2 linked regions of the Cricetulus griseus genome follow. The protein of the gene in region 2 binds, or shares a complex with, the protein of the main gene of each other region. Links are inferred from orthologs where the notes say so. Each region holds a gene or a part of one and is shown on either strand. Other genes may lie near its edges.

Region 1 (10,608 bases), on a different chromosome or scaffold from region 2:
AAAGGGGTGCACCACCACCACCTGACTCTGTTACATGTTTTATGCATTGGTATATGCCATCTCTTTTTTTTTCCTTCAAGACAAGGTTTCTCTGTAGTCCTGCCTGTCCTGGAACTCACTTTTTAGACCAGGCTAGCCTCGAACTCTCAGAGATCCACCTGCCTTTCTCTCCTGAGTGCTGGGATTAAAGGTGTGCGCCACCAGTAACTGACAATATATTCCATCTATAAATAAAGCTTACATATCTTCTTAATATAGGTATTTTTCGTATTGAGATAACATTGAGAAATCCTTTATTAAAGCAACATTAAGCATGCTTAGTATTTAAAAGTGGCCTCTTGATTACATAGTGCAACAATTATCAGTGCCTATTGGGGCATTTTGTGAAGATTTCTTTTGATAGCCAAGGATGGTTATGTGTCTACCTTTGCACATCTTCACTAAGTTAGTTGAGAACATTGTGCTCTTTGGAGTCATGCCTCTGAGCTCAAGTTCTAGGTCTGTCATTTACTAACTTTAGAACATTGGTCAAAGTAGTGAATTTCTCCAAATCTCAAGTTCTTCATTTTCTGCAAGAAAATAACAATACCTTTACAGAGTTGTGAGAATTAAGAATTAGTATAGGGAAAAGTAACATCATTGTATGATTTATTCTCAAATGTTCCTTCTCATTGTTAACAGTAGATAGGTAATAAACCAGTATTACCAATTAGTTGTACACTTGTAGTTGTACACACTCCAAATGTACTTATTTAATATTTCTTATTCAGAGTGTTACGTTAGAAACACAGGAATGAAAGGTCAGTCAGTATCTTAAAGCGTCATGCTTTCTGGTACCTGGTTAACAACATGCTGGATACAGTATAGACTGGTCCTAAACTGCCTGAGCTAGACTACTACTTTCCTCTTGAAGTCATTTCCTCATTTAGCTGTCTTATAAGGACAGCGGTCAAGATGAAGTCACACTTAAAGAGTATTGCCTGGTCCATAAATGCCCCATAAATGGAAACTATGGCAGTTGTGTTAGTATTTTACAAATTGTTCAGTTTTCCTTTTAAAAAACCAAAGGCATCAAAGGAGAGCTTAATGTCAACTGTATCCAAATAATTTTTATTTAAAAAAAATAAACAAAGGGTAGCATTTCCTATAGTCACAGTACTCAGAAGGCTGAGGCAGGAGAATTATAAATGGATGATGTAGTGAGTCCTGGGCAAGCCAGTTTCACAAAATAAAATGTAAAGAAAATGCATTTTTTTCAAAGATTTTTTTATGTATTTATTATGAATACAACATCCTGCCTTCATGTATGTCTGCACCTCAAAACAGGGCACCAGCTCTCATTGTGGATGGTTCTGAGCCACCATGTGGTTGCTGGGAATTGAACTCAGGACCTCTGGAAGAGCAGCCAGTGCTCTTCACCTCTGAGCCATATCTCCAGCCCCCAAGAAAATGCATTTTAATAACTAACACAAGCTATAGAAAGTTGCCAACATCCTCCCTTTTTTGTTTTGTTTTGTTTTTCGAGACAGGGTTTCTCTGTGTAGCTTTGGAGCCTATCCTGGCACTTGCTCTGGAGACCAGACTGGCCTCGAACTCACAGAGACCCGCCTGCCTCTGCCTCATGAGTGCTGGGATTAAAGGCGTGCAAAACCAATGCCCTGAATGCCAAACTCTTTTTTTAAATGAGTGGACTGTGCTTTCACTGTGAACTAGAACATTTCTTGCTCACATCCTACCTCCTCTGCATTTTTTTGACCTTTGAGCTTTTAAAGCAAACAGAGGAATTATTTTTTCCTCTTTTAAAAACTAGGCAAAAATACTTTGTTTACTGTATCAGTCACATGCTTTATGTTGGAGAAGTGAGGTTGAGAAAACTCAAGAAAGTGAGGGTAAGTGTATGTAGCCCCTTACATATAGCTCTATTGTAAACCCATCATTTTGATTGAATAAAGAACTATGAGATTATTTAGAGTTTACCAGTTTCTTATTTTTGAATAAGTTTTCTGATTTTGTCTACAGAAATCAATAAATTTGGTGGTTTTTGTTGTTTTGTTTGTTTGTTTTGAGACAGTGTCTCATGTAGCTAAGGCTATTCTGAAGTTCATTATTTAGCAGAGGATGATCTTGAACCTCTTTTCTACCTGAGTGGGGGCTTATAGGTCTGTGCCACCGAGGCTTGTTTATGTGTGAAACTGGCTCTTGGTACATGCTAGTCAAACACTCTTTTGAGGTATGTCCCCAGCACTGTTTCCTGGTTTCTGCTTTTAGGGTTTTTTACTTGTAATTGTAAAAGAAACCTGTGTTGAAAAATTATTTCAGTGAAGTAGAAACAAAGCTTTGGTGTTTATCCTGAAATAGTGATTTATTTGAAAATCTACTATATTAATGTTTATTTCTTAAAAACATTCTCAAAACTCATCATTTCAGTTGATATTTAGAGGATGCTATGTGTGACAACCAGCATGTATACAAATTGTCCAGCGAATTAAGTTAATTTCATGATTGTTCCTAGAACACTTGAAGTTAGTTGACTTTGGAACTGTTAAAAAGCCATAATTCTTGGGTATTGTGTGCTGGGGCTTGAAGCCAGGGCCTTGTGTATGTTAAGCATGCATTCAATACAAGATCTGTAATTTTCTTAAATCAGTCTTATCTATTTATCCATCCATCCATCCTATCTATACCCGTCCGTCCGTCCGTCCATTGTCTCGCTATACTCACTCTGTAGACTAGACTGGCCTCAAACTCAAAGAGATCTGCCTGCCTCTGTCTCCTTAGTGCTGAATTTTAACATAATAAAATAGAAGGAAGCAAAGTATGTATATAAAATTTTAGTCAGAAGAGGGAAAGAAAATAGGAAAATCAAGGGGAAGAGTGCAAGAGAAACTTACTCAGAGGTGACCAAATGATTCCTTTGGAAAGGAATTTTAGGAATTAAAAACTAATTAGAGGAAAAGAAAAAAAATTGCTACAGGTTAAGAATTTAATAACCTTGAAAATTCTTTAATTTGGGGTTCCCCCTTGTAATTAGTAGCTGGTTCAGATATCTGGTAAATAGTTTAGATCAAAGTTTAACCTTGAGGCCAAGGGTTTTGTTTTATTTCTTTGTGTAACAGTTTGGCTGTCCTGGAACTCACTCTATAGACCATGTTGACTTCAAACTCAGAAATCTGCCTGTCTGATTCCTGAGTGCTGGGACTAAAGGCGTGAGCCATAATTCTGGTTAAGGCCAAGTTCATTTTAAAGTTTGAATCCTAGTAGCTTCTGGAAAGGAGGTAACAGTTAGTGTTTAGAATACCAGCTAATCTAACTAGAAAAACTCCCCTTGAAAGAACTGGTTAAGGGAGTTTTCTGTGATGTGGAGGACTGATTAAAATGTGTCACAACATGCTGGGTGGATTGGGAGCAAGGCATGGACTTGTGTTGAATGCTGTCTTTATAGCACAGTGAGACAGACGACCATGTATTATGTGAGGTGCTCTCTAATTTCCTGCTCTAAGGGTTTCTTTTCCTTGATTATTCACCTATTGCAATGTTCTCCCTGTAGGTTATTGGATTATGTTGAAGTTTTATTTGACATATAGCATGAAGTTATCACAAAATATTCATTAAAACAATAAAAAGCAAGCATTTTTAACAATGTCTTGATGTGTATGATTTTTGTCTTTCCTTAGCTGGAAGCTGGTTTAAATAAATGCATTGGATGTTACTATTGATATTAGAATGTTTCTCTAGAACCTAGCACAGTGTTAGATACATAATGGCACCCAATGTGAATTATTTGGGAAGATTTTTGTTCTTGAGACATAGGTTTCTTTATTGTCCAGGTTGACCTCAAAAGCTTGGATTCAAATAATCCTTCACTCTCCTGAGTATCAGCTGGGACTAACGTGCATGCCATTGTGCTTGTGAGGTTAAAAGTTATTATAAGTAGTAAAGAAATTAAAGTTTTTTTTAGGTTGTCTACCTGAGGACTAAGGAGTAGGCTGTGATCTTTGGAAGTGTCTGTCTGTCTGTCTGTCTGTCTGTCTATCTATCTATCTATCTATCTATCTATCTATCTATCTATATAAGCTTTTGCATTTCACAAGCATGAGTGTAGCTTTATAGGATTATTTCTCAACTCCTAGAATGCAATACACTTCATGTGTTTTTAATAATTAAATACCATATTGAGTTGAGCTATATGAAATTGCAATAATAATTGTTCCCTTTTTAAAAGTCTGTAAGAACAACAATTTCAAGTGATTCAATCTAATTTTGACATCAATTTGATTTTGATTACATTCTTGTTCTTTAGACTTTAGGTTCTTTGCTAAGTATTGATTTGAAGTAGAGGACAGAAGTTATTTTGTATTTGTTAGTGCTTAATTTTGATATCATAGCTTATTTGATCAGTTAACAAGGAAAAGGACCTTAAATGGAGAAGGAACTGTTGAATGATGTTTCACTTAAATTTACAAAGATTCTCTTAAATTTTCTAGAATATTTGTTTTGGGGTATTTTCTAAAGTAAACTTGGGAGTGTTTTGGAGCATATTTTTTCATAGTTTTGTAGATAACATGAGAATATTCAGTAACATTTATTCAAAAAAATTTGTAATCAGTTTGGGAATTTTACTGACTTAGATCAAAGTTTTGTTTGTGTAGTCAATATGCTTTTTAATATGTGTGGTATATTTAAAAAATGTGTATGTTTGAAATATATCTTGCCTTTTGAAGGGGTAGTAGTAGTGGGTTTAGATAACTTGTGTGTACTTTTTTTCTGAATTAACATAGTTTTCTTTGTTTTTAGTGCCACCATGGCAACTGCACCATACAACTACTCGTACATCTTTAAGTATATTATTATTGGTAAGTTTATTAAGCTTGTATTCTTGTCCTCCAAAGAAAGTTAACACATGAAACATTTATACAGCAGTACTTAAACATACTGCTGCAGAAGTGCCATGATTTTCTGACTTAAGAAATAAAGCTTTTTGATGAAGATAACATGCCTTTTGTATCATGGCCCTGGGTACTTCTCTACTCTCTTTTGGGGCACTAGTGAAACGATTGTGATTGTTTTTCAGGGCCACTTCCAAAAGTTAGTGTTGGGGATGAAATTATTTCCTGTTAGCGCTGAAATATCCCAATATCATAAAAGTTTTCCAGTCCCCTTGAATTCCAGCATTGGTAGAGAACAGTTTGATTCAGAATCAGTTGTGTAATATGTATTATTTAAGAATATTTTTGTTTCCTCAAGACTTTGCTCAAATTGTCTTAATGCTGTTTATCTGTGAATGTTTATAAAATGACAGGTGAAAGCCCAGGTGTTGGTTGGATTGTGTGCTGGGGGTAGAACTCCTCCAAGCCTGCCCAGGCTGTGGGTTTGGTTTGATCTCCAGCGTGGAAAACAAAACAAACCATAAATAAATAAAAAGCTTTGATGTCAAGTTCGTGTGGTTTTGTGAAATGGCATCTGCTGTAACTTAGAGGTAAAACAGGAGATAGTGAGTCAAGCTTCCAACATTTAATTTGTTAATTATTTCTAGTTGCCCTTGGGAGATAGTTCATTTGCGTAGACCAACAGGTGTACTTGGGCTACCCACCTGGAAGCAGTTCAAATTTTAAAAGTTCCATAACGGTAATTCTTCTGTCACAAGCCATGGACATGTTGGATCTTTACTAACAGTAATTTACAACAAAATTCGATCCTTATAAACATTCTTTTGAATTCATTATAAAAGAAGGAGATGCAGATGCTCCAAGTGTTCAGAAACCTGTTATGTGTTTTATATCCCCAGTGCAATAGTTACTGCAATATGATTTTAAGAGTAAAAAAGAGAAATAGAAGAATTGCCACCTGAAACGTTTTTCTTGTTTTAAACAGGGGATATGGGAGTAGGAAAATCTTGCTTGCTTCATCAATTTACAGAAAAAAAATGTAAGTTCAATATAAAAGGTAAAAAAGATGAGTAGCTTACTTTATTGTCACATTCACATTTTGCATTATTTTCAGTGTAATTTATGCATTTGATCATAACCTGTCTCCATATTTACACTTTTTTCCCAAGTTTGATTTTAAAGATTTACGAGAGAGAGAGAGAGAGAGAGAGAGAGAGAGAGAGAGAGAGAGAGAGAGAGAGAGTGTGTGTGTGTGTGTGTGTGTGTGTGTGTATGTGTGAACTTTTAACTGCTAAGCCATCTCTGTGGCCCCAAGTGCCATAAATTTTTTAATAGGTACAGATAAAATGCAGTATTATCACCAGCATGTTTAAATGTTGTTCTTTTAATTCATGATGTATAACTAGGTTTACTTTGATTTTTGTTAGTTAGTTTGTTTGTTTATTAAGAGGTTCTCACTGTTTTACTCTGCTCTGGCTGACTTGAAATAGACTGTGTAGAACAGGCTGTCCTCAAACTCAAAGAGATCTACCTGCCTCTGCCTCCTGAGTGTTGGGATTAAAGATGTGCACCATCATGGCAAGCTGTTTTGATTTCTTGGTAGTACAAACATAGAATTAATTTTTAAAAATGTGTAAAATGTTAAATGTAAAAAACCTCATTTTTACTCTTTTACTTTAAATGTACCCTTTAAACATTTATGTGGGTGTATGCACATGTATGCATGTGTACATGTTGGTATGTATGTATGTGTATGCCATTTGTGGGCTGATACTCACAGAGACCAGAAGAGGGTGTTGGATCCCCTGGAGCTGTAAGTTATAGGCAGTTGTGAGTTTAGCGTAGGTGGTACAGGGAACTAGACTCTGGTTCTCTGAAAGGACAGCAAATGTTTTTAACCACTGTGACATCTCTTCAGCTCTCCAGCCCCCAAATTTTTTATTATTATTATTATTATTATTATTATTATTATTATATATTTTTTTGTTTTTCGAGACAGGATTTCTCTGTGTAGCCTTGGCTGTCCTGGAACTCGCTCTGTAGACCAGGCTGGCCTTGAAATCACAGAAATCCACCTGCCTCTGCTTCCTGAGTGTTGGGATTAATGATATGTGCCACCGCCACCCAGCTAAAATGTATTATTTTAAGAAACTTTTTTTTTGCACTGCATGTATCATTTATTTATGAAAATTAGTAGCTTTTTGGCGGGGTTTCTCTGTGACTTTGAAGGCTGTCCTGGAACTAGCTCTTGTAGACCTGGCTTGTATTGAATCACAGAGATCTGCCTGCCTCTGCCTCCCGAGTGCTAGGATTAAAGGCCACCACCGACCGGCTTAAAATTAGTGGTTTTAGAATACTAAATAGAATTCATCCTGGTTTTATGACTGGCTAAGATTTAGAGTACAACTTTTATCTTGTGGCAGAGAAAGAGGCCGTATAATATAATTTATAAGCTAAAAATAATTGAGATTTTGGCATTTTTGTGATGCTTGCCACAAAGGTTTTCTGAAATTTGGATCTTTTCTCCAACAGTTATGGCTGACTGTCCTCACACAATTGGTGTTGAATTTGGTACAAGAATAATTGAAGTTAGTGGCCAAAAAATCAAACTGCAGATTTGGGATACAGCAGGACAGGAGCGGTTCCGAGCTGTTACACGGAGCTACTACAGAGGGGCTGCGGGTGCACTCATGGTGTATGACATCACCAGGTAAGATGATGTCATACTTGGGAGTAGACCTCTACTTTGGGCAGTGTGGTTTCTTTTTTACTGAGGTAGGCTTTCTTTAGTTTGTAATTGGATGACTGTAAATAATTCACTTAGGTTTTGTGGTTTCTACTCTAAAATTGTGACAAACTTAAATAACATGCTGGTTTTCTTCACCTGAAGTTGGCTAATGAAAGACTGTGGAGACAATGGGGAACTGAGAGAACACAGTCTGTGAAGCAGCACCAGTTGTTTGCAGAGAAGTGGCTTTATATGAAACTCTGATTTCAGGGAAGGCGAGTCAGTTTTGAGGAATCGCTGTATGCAGTCTTTTGTGTTAAAATTGACACCGTCTGCAAATAGGCCAAGTGAGGAGTGAAACACTTGGTTTTGTTATGGCAGCATGGTAGAATGAAACAGATCCTGTGTTTTCATCTATAGGCCAAAAGGAGGTTCTTTTTTGATATATATGACTTTTTTGACATTTAGGTGGTAGTTTATATGTAATATTTACTCATTTTCTTAATTCATTTTTCTACTATGGTATTGAAGTGACTTAAAACACTGCATCAGGATTCAATTCCTGACAACATGGCTGTTTCTGGAAACTCAGAGTATTTGACATGAAGTCACAAAACAGTAATGTAAAGGTTTGACTTTGGAGCACATAGCAAACTGCTCCTTACTAGACCAGAACAGTTGTCTGCTGTATGTTAGATGAACTGGATGGGTTTTTTGTTTTGTTTTGTTTTTTAATCTCTCTCCCCCCAGACAGGGTTTCTCTGTCCTGGAACTATCTCTTGTAGACCAGGCTGGTCTCGAACTCACAGACATCCGCCTGCCTCTGCCTCCCGAGTGCGTGTGCCACCAATGTCCAGCTGAACTGGTCACCTTTTATGATGATGCACAGTCGAAAACAACCCTAAGAAGAGTCCCTCCTAAGAAACAAGTGAGTGGGACCAAGTGACAGCTGGAGATTGTTCTACCCGGGAAACAGTTTATGCCATTTCATCTTGAAGAGTAAGAGAGTACCTGGGCATATGAAGATTCTTAAGATGTTTACTGTAAAGGAATCCCTTGACTTTGACACACTCTTGAAAATGCTGCCTTAGAATATTGATAGGATTGAATATAATTATAGTACAGAAAGCCTCGGTAAATTATTAGCAAACAGTAAAACAAGCCTTTATTCTCTACACTGTACTGGACAGTTGGTAACATGATTAGTGAATGGTCTTGTGGGGAGACTGTAAGAACTTGGCTGTTGTACAGAATTGCCTCAATGTGAATTATTACTGCATTCCTGAAGACTGACTTAGTTAAAAATCCCATACATTCTCAATACATTTATGATGATGTGTACTTAAAATACAGTTTGTTTTTTTAACATATTTTTTAAGTATAGTTGTACTATGATAAAATTTGTGTGTATTCAAGTGATCAAAGGCACTTCAGATGGAAACAGCAGAAATGTCCATCAACTAAAGGAATGACACACATCAGGTGGCATGTCCACACAATGAACTGCTTTTTGAGCTGTAAAAAGGGTGACTGATACATGCTATATGTACGTGTAAAAGGCCACGTTCGATTTTGTGTTTATCTAGACTAGGCAAACTCGTTGAGGCAGGAAGAAGATTGCAAGGGCATAATCAGCTATTGTGCACAAGATTTCTCCTTTGGGGTCCTGTGAATGTTCTAGAATTTGATAGTGGTGATACTAAAAGTAAATTGTATTTTTAAAGGGTTTATGATGATTCATTGTATCTCAGTATAATTTACTAAAAAAGTAAATTTTCAGGTGTTAGAGTCATGACACTATTTTCCATCAATTTTTTTCTGCTAATCTTTGACATTTTGTAACTTACAAGTTTCTGCTTGAATTACACTTTTTATCTTTGGCATTAATTGTAATTGTTATAAGGCACTTTCCTAAATTACAGTGAAGCTTATCCTGTCAGTTGTTTTGCCAAACAGTCAGGATGCAGTTAGTACCTAGGTAAATATATTTTGAAGTCAAGAAGTTAGAGCACTGAGCTATCCTCACCCAGAGCTGGTCTGTGTTTGGATTTATTTGCTGTGTTAAGGCCAACTGAACTAGTGCAGATGACATGATGCTTTTTGTTTTGGTTTTTTTGAGACAGGGTTTCTCTGTGTTCTGGCTGTTTTGGAACTCACTCTGTAGACCAGGGTGGCCTCAAACTCACAGAGATCTGCCTGCCTCTGCCTCCCAAGTGCTGGGATTAAAGGCGTGTGCCACCAGTGACCAGCTGGCAGTATGCTTTCTAAACTTGCTCAGATGAAGTAGAAGAATGCTGCAGTCTGAATTTTCAGATGATTTAACTGCTGTAAATAAGAGAAGTATAAACTAACTTCTGTTGGCTGAGGTTTTGAATTTCTAGATGAGTATATTAAATGCCTTTTTTAAAGGCAGGTTTTGTTTTGTTTTGTTTTGTTTTTTAATCTGTGTATTAGCTCACTCCAGATTAGTAATCTGAGCATGGTCCCACATGTCTGTAATTCTAGCATTTAGGAGGTAGAGGCAGGAGGAACACAATTTGGAAGCCAGTCTGGGAAACACTTATATGAAAAAAGAAAGACAAGAATTTAGGAAAGATAAATTATGTACTGATTTAGTGTGACTGTCTTTTATTTCTGACTTTTAAATACTTCTGGTATTTTTAGTATAGTTGGACATTGAGCTGTTTAAAAATAATGAATTTGTGGGCAGGTATGCTGGCACACACCGGTAATCCAGGACGTGGGGAGATTGAGAGAAAGTTGGCTGTATGGGTGGGGCAAGATAGTTTGGTCTGCACAGTGAGACCTTGTTTCAAAAAGCAAAACAAAGTTTGACTAGATTTTTTTTGAAAATTATTTTGGTTCTATTTTACAGTCATTCTTTAGAGTAACCATCTGGTCAAAGTAGAAGTACATGTAGTTGAGATCTTCCAAGTAAAGTCTACATATGTATGTATATATTTATATGAGTTTGTTAGCTTGTGTATTTTTTGA
Region 2 (9,542 bases):
TCATAGCAGACACTTGCTGAGCCCTTGGGCCCTGGGGGTCAACTTCTTCCAGCTCAGAAGTCCAGAATTGGGAGTTTCCTTTTTATGCTCTTCATCTACTCTATTGTCATTTCCTTCGTTTTAGATCTATCTATCTATCTATCTATCTATCTATCTATCTATCTATCTATCTATCCATTTATCTATCTGTCAATAACAAGCTTTCTGTTAATAACAGTCAAGTTAAGGACAAACGTCCTTCCCTGAAGTGGAATTTGAAAACACTAGGCTGACTGACTGTAAGCACTGAGCTGGGTAGCAGTAGCAGGAACCAAACTGAAAGAATCCCAAATGAAGGGTCCAGAGAATCAAATCTCACAACGCTAGTCATTTATGAAAACTTTAGAAAAATAAACAAAACTTTCTAGTACCATAAAAAAAAAACCAAAATGAGAATACAAATGAATATGAATCTGTTTTCAAATTCCTTAATGCAGATACTCAGTGTCCTATGGAAGCCCCTGGCCCCAACCTAGAATATCATGGGCTCTGCAATGTGATCTCATCTCTGAGAGGAACAGTATCTGCTCCTCTCCACGGGAGAGGCCTATTAACCACTTTCCACACCTGAGGCCAGCAGAGGCTCTCCTTGCTAACAGACAGACTTAGCCTGGATGGAAAGGCAAGCTGAGGAAGTTAAGTCTGGGAGGAGACACCTTCATCTGCCCTAACAGCTTCTATCGGGTCATCCAAGCTGACTAACCACAGATGGGCCTCTCAGATACTTCTGAAACCCAAGCAAAGATTTGACATTCTCGGGGTGTCAAAGCCATGGTCCCTCAGGATAAGATGAGGACTACGAAAAGTCAGGATGGAGATGTTTGACCTCTCCATAAGGGGCTCAGGCACCCTTTGGCATGATTGTGGTGGTGGCTGCAGGGGCTTCACATGAGAGACCATCATGGGAGACAACCACCCTAAGTTTTCCAACACGACAGAAGGAACTTCTATCACACCCCAAGTGAAATACAGACACACGTCTTCAAAAGGTAGTATCATTTTATTTAGTGTTAAGGAAATTTTACTTTTTTTTTTTTTTTTTTTTGAGACAAGGTCTTATGTATCCCAGTCGGACTTAAACCTCCCTGCACTGCTGAGGATGAAGTTGAACTTTTGGTCACCTTGCTTCTGCCCTCAAGTGCTGGCTGGGATTACAGTTGTGCATCGTGACGCTCAGTTTATATAGTACTGAGGTGGGGGGCTGGGAGGATCACACCTAGTGCTTTGTGACTGAGTTACACGCCTAATCCCTTAGGTATTTCTTAAAAGCAATACCAAGCAAGTTCAAAAGTCCCAAAGCAACATGCAGGGAACAGTAATTCTGTAATTAAAACAAACAAACACCATTGAGCCTTCAGGTGGAGGGAATTTTGTAGTTCACAAAGTAGGTGGAAGAATCCAGACTTGGGGCTGGTGTGGGTTCACGTTTCCAATCTAGGGCAACTGATTGATTTTCAGTCTTTTGGGATCCTTAATCAGGACCCCATCCCACCACCCCCCACCTCTGCCAAAAAACAAAACAACCCCCCCCCAAAAAAACCTGGGAGTGGTAGCATGCTGATATTCTCAGCATTTGGAAGATAGAGGCAGGAGGATCAGGAGTTAAAGGTCAGCAGTAGCCATAAAGCCAGTGCAAGGTTAACCTGGGCTACATGAGAACCTGACTTAAAAAACAAAGACAAAAACATCACAAAGCGGGGTGAGGGTCTGGCTGAGGGTGTAACTCAGTGGTAGAGCATGGGATTCCCATGAAGAAGACACCGGGTTTAATCCCCACCGCCAATAAACCAAAGGGAGAGGAACCCAGGGATGAAGAACTCTGGCCTCAATAGAGCGCATAGCAAAGCCTCTCTGATGCCTGTGAACTGGGAAGCTGGAGGCACACAGCTCATCTATCATGCATGTGCACTGCTGTTGAGCATGGCACAGAGCAGGGCTGCTCGCTCCTTCCTTCTGGTGTGGAAGGAAGGAGAACTAACGTACTGGAATAAAACAGGGAGGCCAGGCCATGAGGCAAAGCCAAGCATAAGATGATAGGAAGCAACTGGACAGAGGGCTGACTGTTTTTTAGGAAGCTGACCTCCAATCGGAGTCTGCTGGATTTATTCCAATGCCCCCTCAAATCCTGGCTGGGCTTTCTGGAGGCAGCCAGGCAAGGGCAAGGAAAAAAGCCCTTTTTTTTTTCCTGGAGTGCAGGCCCCTCCAGTGGCCAGCCTCAGTAGCTCCCAGAGCTCTCCAAGTCACAAACCTCTCTCTCACTGCAAGCTTGGTTTCCCTTGGTGTCTTCCTTCAGCCCCCAACTGCATATTCAAGACCAGTTATTAAGTAGGTGTGGCCTCTATGTATTCTGTGAGTGACAGCAGTTAGAAATGCAATGTTTTCCAGTGAAGCCCTTGAGGTAAATTATCCTTCATTCTCCAGAGTTCCCAAGTGGCATTTCAGAGCACAGGAATTCACTCCACCTAAATGGTCCTCTCTAGTACTAAGTCAGTGACATGCCAAAGGTCCCAATCGCAGCAGAGACCTCCAGTCTGGCCATTAACAAGGCAGTTAGTTCTCCAGGACAACTCTTTGGAGAACCAGTGCTTGCCCCCATGCACTTAGGTTATCACAGTACAAATGCATTTTTATCAAGTAAAAAAACATGATCCAGAACAGACATATACATGTACATTTTCAGAGTTCAAGTGAGTATGTTTTTTTTATAGGCATATTAATGAATTTTACAACACTAAAAAAAGAAAAATTACAAATCATCTCAGAAATCTGCAGTGGTCCCTAGTATTGTAGGAGAGATTAAATAAAAATAGGTGTGGATCATTAACAGCTAATTAGATAAATCAAGTTATAGTCCCACCCTTCAGCTTAAAGTGCTCCAGTGTAACCAATGGTCCTCATCTTCCGGATGACGAGGACATACACAGAGAGATTCTTCATTCATAACTACCACCACCTCCACCCTGTCCATTCCACTGGCCTGTGATTGCCCCTAGCAGAGATGTTAAGATCATTACAACCAGGAAGAAAAAAAAAAAGAGCAACCTGAAACACTTTAATTCTAGTATGAGGTGTCCAGCAATGAAATGGGGCTGATATATATATATTAAAAAATACAGCAATCTACCAGGCATGACGACACATACCCATGATCCCAGTATTTGGAAAGATAAGGCAAGAGGGATGAAAGTTTGAAGCCAGTGAGATCCTGTCTCAAAATAGCAGCAACAACAAAACTCCCCCCAAATCAGGAAGTAGCAATCAAAAAGCAAGTGTGGGGTGGGGATGGCAGTGCTCGATACCACTGAGCACTTGCCCAGCCCTAGCCCAAGGATCCTTCATCTTGAGGAATTGGTGGACTCTGGCTACTCCCTTCCATGAACATTGTCAGGAAAGCCAATAAGACAAGCAAATGGCACATGGCCAAGGGACCCTTCCTAAAGTCATTTTCTACCTCACAGAAAGGCTGAAGTATCTGCATTGCTTAGTCCTCTCGCCAACAACAGAACCCTGTTAGCTTGAGAGGCGGGACTCTGACCATTTTTCCCTACTTAAAAGAAAAGTGACTTTTTTTAAAAAAAAAAAATGTGCCATTGGTGTTTTGCCTGCATGTACGTTTGTGAGGGTGTTGGATCCCCTGGAACTGGAGTTACAGAAAGTTGTGAGTTACCATTCAGGTGCTGGGAATTGAACCTGGGTCCCTCTAAAAAAGCAGCCAGTGCTCTTAACTGATGAGCCAGTCTGAAAAGTGCCTCTTTAATTCCTTCATGTCTTCAGGAGATGGCCCTATGGATCTAAAAAGCAGTGTGGATATGTGCCTGTGGGTGTGGTGGCATGTCTTCGTATGTGTGCATATGTACATATGTGGGGTGTATTCACCTATGTGGGATCATATGAAGGGCAGAGGCTTAAGGTAGGCAGAGGCTTATTAAGACAGGGTCCCTCACTGAATCCAGAGTTCCCTGTTTCAGCTAGAACGGCTGGCCAGTGAGCCGCTGGGCTTTGCCAGTCTCTGCCCGCCTTCATCCCTCTGAGCCCACTCACCACCCCCACCCAGGCACCTGCCACTACTGTTGGCTCTTTTGCATGGGTGCCGAGAATGCAAATACAGATTCTCATGTTTGCAGTGCAAGCCCTTTACCCTCTAAGCTGTATCTCCCCACCCACAAATCATATTTTTAAAGCTAAAAGGCAGAAGGACCTGAAAGAGACAATTTGTTCCAAGTCTAAGAAGCATGCTCAGAGGTTTTCGTAAACAGTTGTGCTCCAGGCAAGAGGCATCAACACAGCAGTAATCCCAACACTTGGGAAGTGGGGGCAGGAAAATCAGAAGAAGGCTAGTCTCAGCTATACAGTGAGTTCAAGAGCAGCCTAGGCTATACAACAGCCTATCTGGAAAACAGACCAATGCCCCCTAAACAAAAACCCTACCAAAACAATCCTTGAGTCTGAGAAGTTCACAAGACAAAAATATTTAGAATCTGCCACACCTGAGCTGCTTGAAGGCCAAGAAAGGAGGTGAAACAGTATCCATAGTATAGTCCCTTTCTGATCTCACCCTAAGCCTGGCTTCATGGAGGATACACACTTGATGATCTCCGTATCAAAGGGCGAAAACCCCAGTGTTAAAATACATTAGTTCCGATGGTGCCTCCTGAATTGATGGCTCAGAGTCAAATCTTACATTTACAACTTAGTTAAAGGCACAGTGGCATTTAAAATTAAAATGCTAGGAATGTATAGAAAAGATTCATTGTAATAATTAACCTGGTTTCAACTAGGAGAATAAACTCTTGATAGACAATGCACACACCCAGTGATGAGAGCCTGTGTGCTGGTTACTATGAAGACCATGCCTTTGACCTTGAGAGTTGGTGGAAACAAGCTCACAAAATATCTCCATTTCCTTCCTGCGGTTCACATCTTTCCAGCCTTTTTGCCAAGCTGAGTCGGCACTCGGAGGATATTGGGGGTCTCCTCCATGACTCTGACTAGCAGGTTGTCTATGTAGTCTTCCAGCTCCCGCACCTGAAACTCCTTCTTGCTGATGGTTTCCTTCTGTTTGAGGACCAACTGGATCAGCTCATCATGGGTCAGCTGTGCATAGGCAAAGGCAGGATCCGAGGGCTGGTATTTCTGTGGGGAGGGGAGGAAGAGGGAAACAGTTACAAGTCAGCAGAGAAAGCAGACTTCTGAAAGGAATGCAAAGAAATTTCAGCAGCCATTGGAGTCTCTCTAACACTCATTTTGTTATTCTTCAGAGTCTCTCTATGTAGCCCTGGCTGACCTGAAACTCACTGTGTACACAGAACAGGCTGGCCATGAACTCATGGAGATCCGCCTGTCTCTGCCTTCCAGGTATTGGGATTAAAGGTTCATGCAATCACAGCTGGCTTGGAAATCCACTTTCAACATGGGCTGAAAACAGGTTGCTGACTAAAAAAAGTACCACAGACTTTGTAGACTGCGTAAAGGTTGCTTACATGCATTTTTACTTACTTTTTATTTTCTTTTTGCTTTATGATCCTTTGAAAAATGTAAAAACCAGGGGCCTGGGTGTAGCTCAGCAGTCGAACACTTGCTAGCATGTGTAAAGGCCCTGGGTTTGATCACCAGCATTTAAAAACCAGGAACTATCCTTGGTTTTTAATTCCTAGACCTCTGGTCTTGACCTGGGCACATGTTTTCAAGAAATTTAATAAGGGGGCTGGAGAGATGGCTCAGTGGTTAAGAGCACTGGCTGCTCTTTCAGAAAACCCAGGGTTCAATTCCTAGCATCCATATGGTAGCTCCTAACCATCTGAAACTCCAGTTCCCAAAAACCTAGCACTGTCTTTTTAGCTTCCTCTGGCACTGCACGCACATGCACACACACACACACACACACACACACACACACACACACACACACACACACACACAGATATACATGCAAGCAAAACAACCACAAACATTTAAAAAAAGGAAAAAAGAAGGAATATAATGAGAGCTTGGTGGGGAGGAGGGAAAGGAGGAAGAAAGCAACGTCAGATGGCAGTAGTAGTCACATAATCAGCAAGCCTCAGGCATAGTGTGCACACACTGGAGCCCAGCCACTTGGGGGGCTGAGGTAGATGAACCACTTGATCTCTCAAGTTCCTGGAGTTATACAACATGCAGAGCTGGAACAAGCCCCAAGTCAGAGTGGAAAGAAGATGTGGGGAGCACCCTCCTGCCTACACTGTAGGGTACCAGCTAATGAAGTCAGTCTGCTACCTTGAGGCACCCCAATTTGAGACTCTACCAAAACTTACTCCACACTCTCAAAACATGTATAGCTAAAGCCAAGTGCCACCAGGCCATGGACCTCACAGGTCACCTGAGTACACACACTCTGGGTACATAGTGGCCTGACCCAAGGACTGACTGTTTCTGTTTCTGAAGGGAGCACGTATCCGGAACAGTTGCTTTTAATGAGCATATATCATCTGGGCCAAGGAGACTCTAACTGCAAGCCTGAGAGTTCTGGGCCAAAAGGAAGCGAGAGACAAAAGACTCAGTAAGAAGTAACAAGTCACATCAAGGCCTTAGGAGGGAGTAAAAGGAAGGGCCTGGCAATCTGCACCTCAGATATACAAATTCAAGGAAACAAGACTCCAGAACAACTCAAGGTGATTTCTGCCCCCAGAACTCCAGGGCAGTAACAGGTTTTGTCACTTTTATCTTCTACCAGGAAGACCAATAAGTCAAGAACCTACCATCTCCAAGCAGAGCCAGGAGCCTGAACTAACAGTAATAGTCCAACAATAGCACAGAAGCCCCTCCCTGCCCCATCCAGAGAGCAAAGTGCCCAAGGAGAAGAATCCAGAGGAATTCTCCTTTCATTGGCTGGCTTAGAAACAAGAAAAACAAGCACTGTTTTCACATACACAGTAAGCATGAATCCAAATTAGGGGGCACATGAATAATGCAGATGCCAGGCTATTTCTCCCTTCCTCACCCCTGCTTTCGTCCTTTGAATTTGTTGAGGACATCTATATGGGGGGGGGGGGTTTGACCTTTTTTGGTCACGATACATAAGTGCTCTACCCCTGCACTCTGTGTGTGGCTTCCAAAACTAGATTCGAATTGGGCAAGATGGCACACACCTGTAATCCCAGCACTTAGAAAAGAGGTTAGCCTGAATCACGAAGCCAGCTTGGCTACAGTGAGACACTATCTCCCAAACAAAGCAAAACAAAAAACAAAAGAAGCTAAAAATCAGATTCAATGAAAAAGTTTTATGTCTAAGAAGTGTTCTGGACTTGGATACACAACAATGTGGATGCATTTAACACTACTAAATTATGTTTAAAATGAGGCTGGGCTATGGAGGCACACATCTTTAATCTGCACTCAGGACACAAAAGTAGACACAGGTCTCAGGAAGTTTGAGGCCAGCCTGGTATACATCAAGAGTTCTAGGCCAGTCAGGGCTACAGAGTAAGACCCTGTCTCAAAAAAAAGTATGATGGAAGCCTTCATATCATGAGTTTTGTCATAATAAAAAAGATATCCAGCCGAGCAGTGATGGTGCACGCCTTTAATCCCAGCCCTTTGGAGGCAGAAGCAAGTGGATCTCTGTGAGTTCAAGGCCAGCCAGGTCTACAGAACAGCTAGGGCTGCTTGTTTCACAGAGGACACCCAAAAAAGGTGTCTATTGATGTTTCACATAAAGAAACATACCCTTGAGGTTTTTAGATTACACCTCTACAATATAAATGTTTTGTCAAGAAGTACTAATTAGTGGTTGAGTGTACAGCTTGGTTGACGATGTATATGTTTAGCAAGAGTGAGGCCCGGTGTTATTAAATCCATAACTCAGTCCCTCTCCATCTCTTCTCTTCGACACGGGGTCTCATGCAGCCCATGCTGGCCTGCAGTTCCTGGTCCTCTGCCCCCACCACTCAATTCTGGGGAATATGAGTGTGCGCCACCACACCCGGCTTTCCCTTTTCTTTCCTCTTTGCTGTCTTCCTCTTCTTTCTGAGACAAGGTCTCATGTAGCTCAGACTGACCTCAAACAAGGAAGGTCTTGAACTGCTGATCTTGTGGTGGGATTACAAGCACGTGGTACTACAACACCCAGTTTATGTGGTATTGAGGATCAACCCCAGGGCTTCATGCAAGATAGATTTAATAGAAAAATTTAATTCCAGTACATTTTAACCATTGCTGTACTACTAGATATTTATGTTATTTTCAGCTTTACAATCATATACAACATTTCTTTAAAAAGATTTGCTTGAATTTTAAATATGTATCTGGGCATTATCTGTGTACACAAGTGTATGTGCCCAGAGGCCAGTCTGGAAGAGATAGAGGATGGAAAAGGAGCCTTGTGAAAATGTCTTCTGGACAGGAGGGCCTTGCACTCATGAATACACAGCAGCAGCAGTTTATAGGAAGACAGGACAAAAGGTAGGAGAAGTATTAGTCAGGAAGAAAAAGGGCACCCGCAGAAGCCAGGTTGGGGCTGGAGTACCAGGAGGTGAACATAATCACAATACATTATATTGTCCTGTGATACTGTCAAACACACAAAAATGACTTTTTGATGGAGGCCCTAAAACAGCAGCCAAGGGGGGGAAAAAACAAACAGAAAACATTGTTGCAATGACCCTACTAGCTTTTTCATTTACTTTAGCTGTGTGATTTTCCCTTCACAACCTCTCTTATTTTGAAGTTATTTTTACAAATGCTGCTGTATGCTTAGTACAAATCTGCTATTCTCCAGTAAGCCAACAGCAGTCTCTCAAGTGTTTTCTATATTTACCTAGAATATTTACCTGGGAGGGTTCAAGACCAAGAGATTTATGGCAGGTCAAGGGCAGCAGTGGGCACACGAGTCATGAAGCAAACTGAGAAAGGGTGCCTCTCTTTGGTCTTACTCAGTCCCAGGAGATAAACCCTTGATTAAATGAACGTTGAAGGGGAAATAAATCAAGGGCCTTGCTTACTTTCTGAAAAAGAGGCATTTGCTTCTCTATGGGCTCAATGCCTAATACATCAGTAAAGTCAATCAGCCAACCAATCACAAATAAATAGATAGACAGATACAGATAGACAGACAGACAGGCAGACAAGGGGCTGGAGCATCAGCTCAGGCTCAGCAGTTTAAGAGAATCTGCTCTTACAGGGTTTGGCTTCCAACACCCACAGGGTGGCTCACAACCATCTTTAACTCTAGTTCCAGGAGACCTAGTGCCCTTGACTGTCCTCCATGGGTACCAGGCCCACCTTTATGTGCCTATACATACATGCAGGCAAAACACTCATATACATGAAATAAAAACAAATACAATCAGAGAGTCAGAAAGCATCCTGCACTAACAGGAAGTGGGAAGGGGAAACTGCTAGATGGCTACACGTCATTATGTCATCTTTATGTTGTCCTGTAGCTCAACTTCCTAGTAAATATCAGGAAAATAAACAAACAAACAAACAAAAACCCTTTCTGGCAGAAAAACTAACAAATGAACAAACAA

The links. Proteins that work in one complex are often made in the same cells at the same time.
Region 1: the proteins of Rab11fip1 (region 2) and Rab14 are in contact, whole or in part, in a crystal structure (PDB 4D0G), measured with the Homo sapiens proteins. The link is inferred for Cricetulus griseus from reciprocal best matches to the Homo sapiens genes RAB11FIP1 and RAB14. Residues at the interface, in NP_001002814.2 of Homo sapiens: Glu1252, Ile1255, Asp1256, Asn1257, Leu1259, Val1260, Met1263, Pro1267, Asn1268, Leu1270, Arg1271, Ile1272; in NP_057406.2 of Homo sapiens: Leu28, His29, Ile44, Gly45, Val46, Glu47, Phe48, Gly49, Trp65, Arg72, Arg74, Ala75, Val76, Ser79, Tyr80.

The regions. Positions count from the first base shown.
Region 1 is NC_048599.1:146,990,100-147,000,707, reverse strand, and holds part of Rab14 (ras-related protein Rab-14), read left to right. Parts: intron 1-4,794; 5' UTR 4,795-4,801; coding exon 4,802-4,853; intron 4,854-5,871; coding exon 5,872-5,925; intron 5,926-7,418; coding exon 7,419-7,596; intron 7,597-10,608.
Region 2 is NW_023276807.1:56,692,348-56,701,889, reverse strand, and holds the end of Rab11fip1 (rab11 family-interacting protein 1), read right to left. Parts: intron 5,173-9,542; coding exon 4,954-5,172; 3' UTR 4,953-4,953; downstream 1-4,952. UniProt on the Homo sapiens protein: A Rab11 effector protein involved in the endosomal recycling process. Also involved in controlling membrane trafficking along the phagocytic pathway and in phagocytosis. Interaction with RAB14 may function in the process of neurite formation.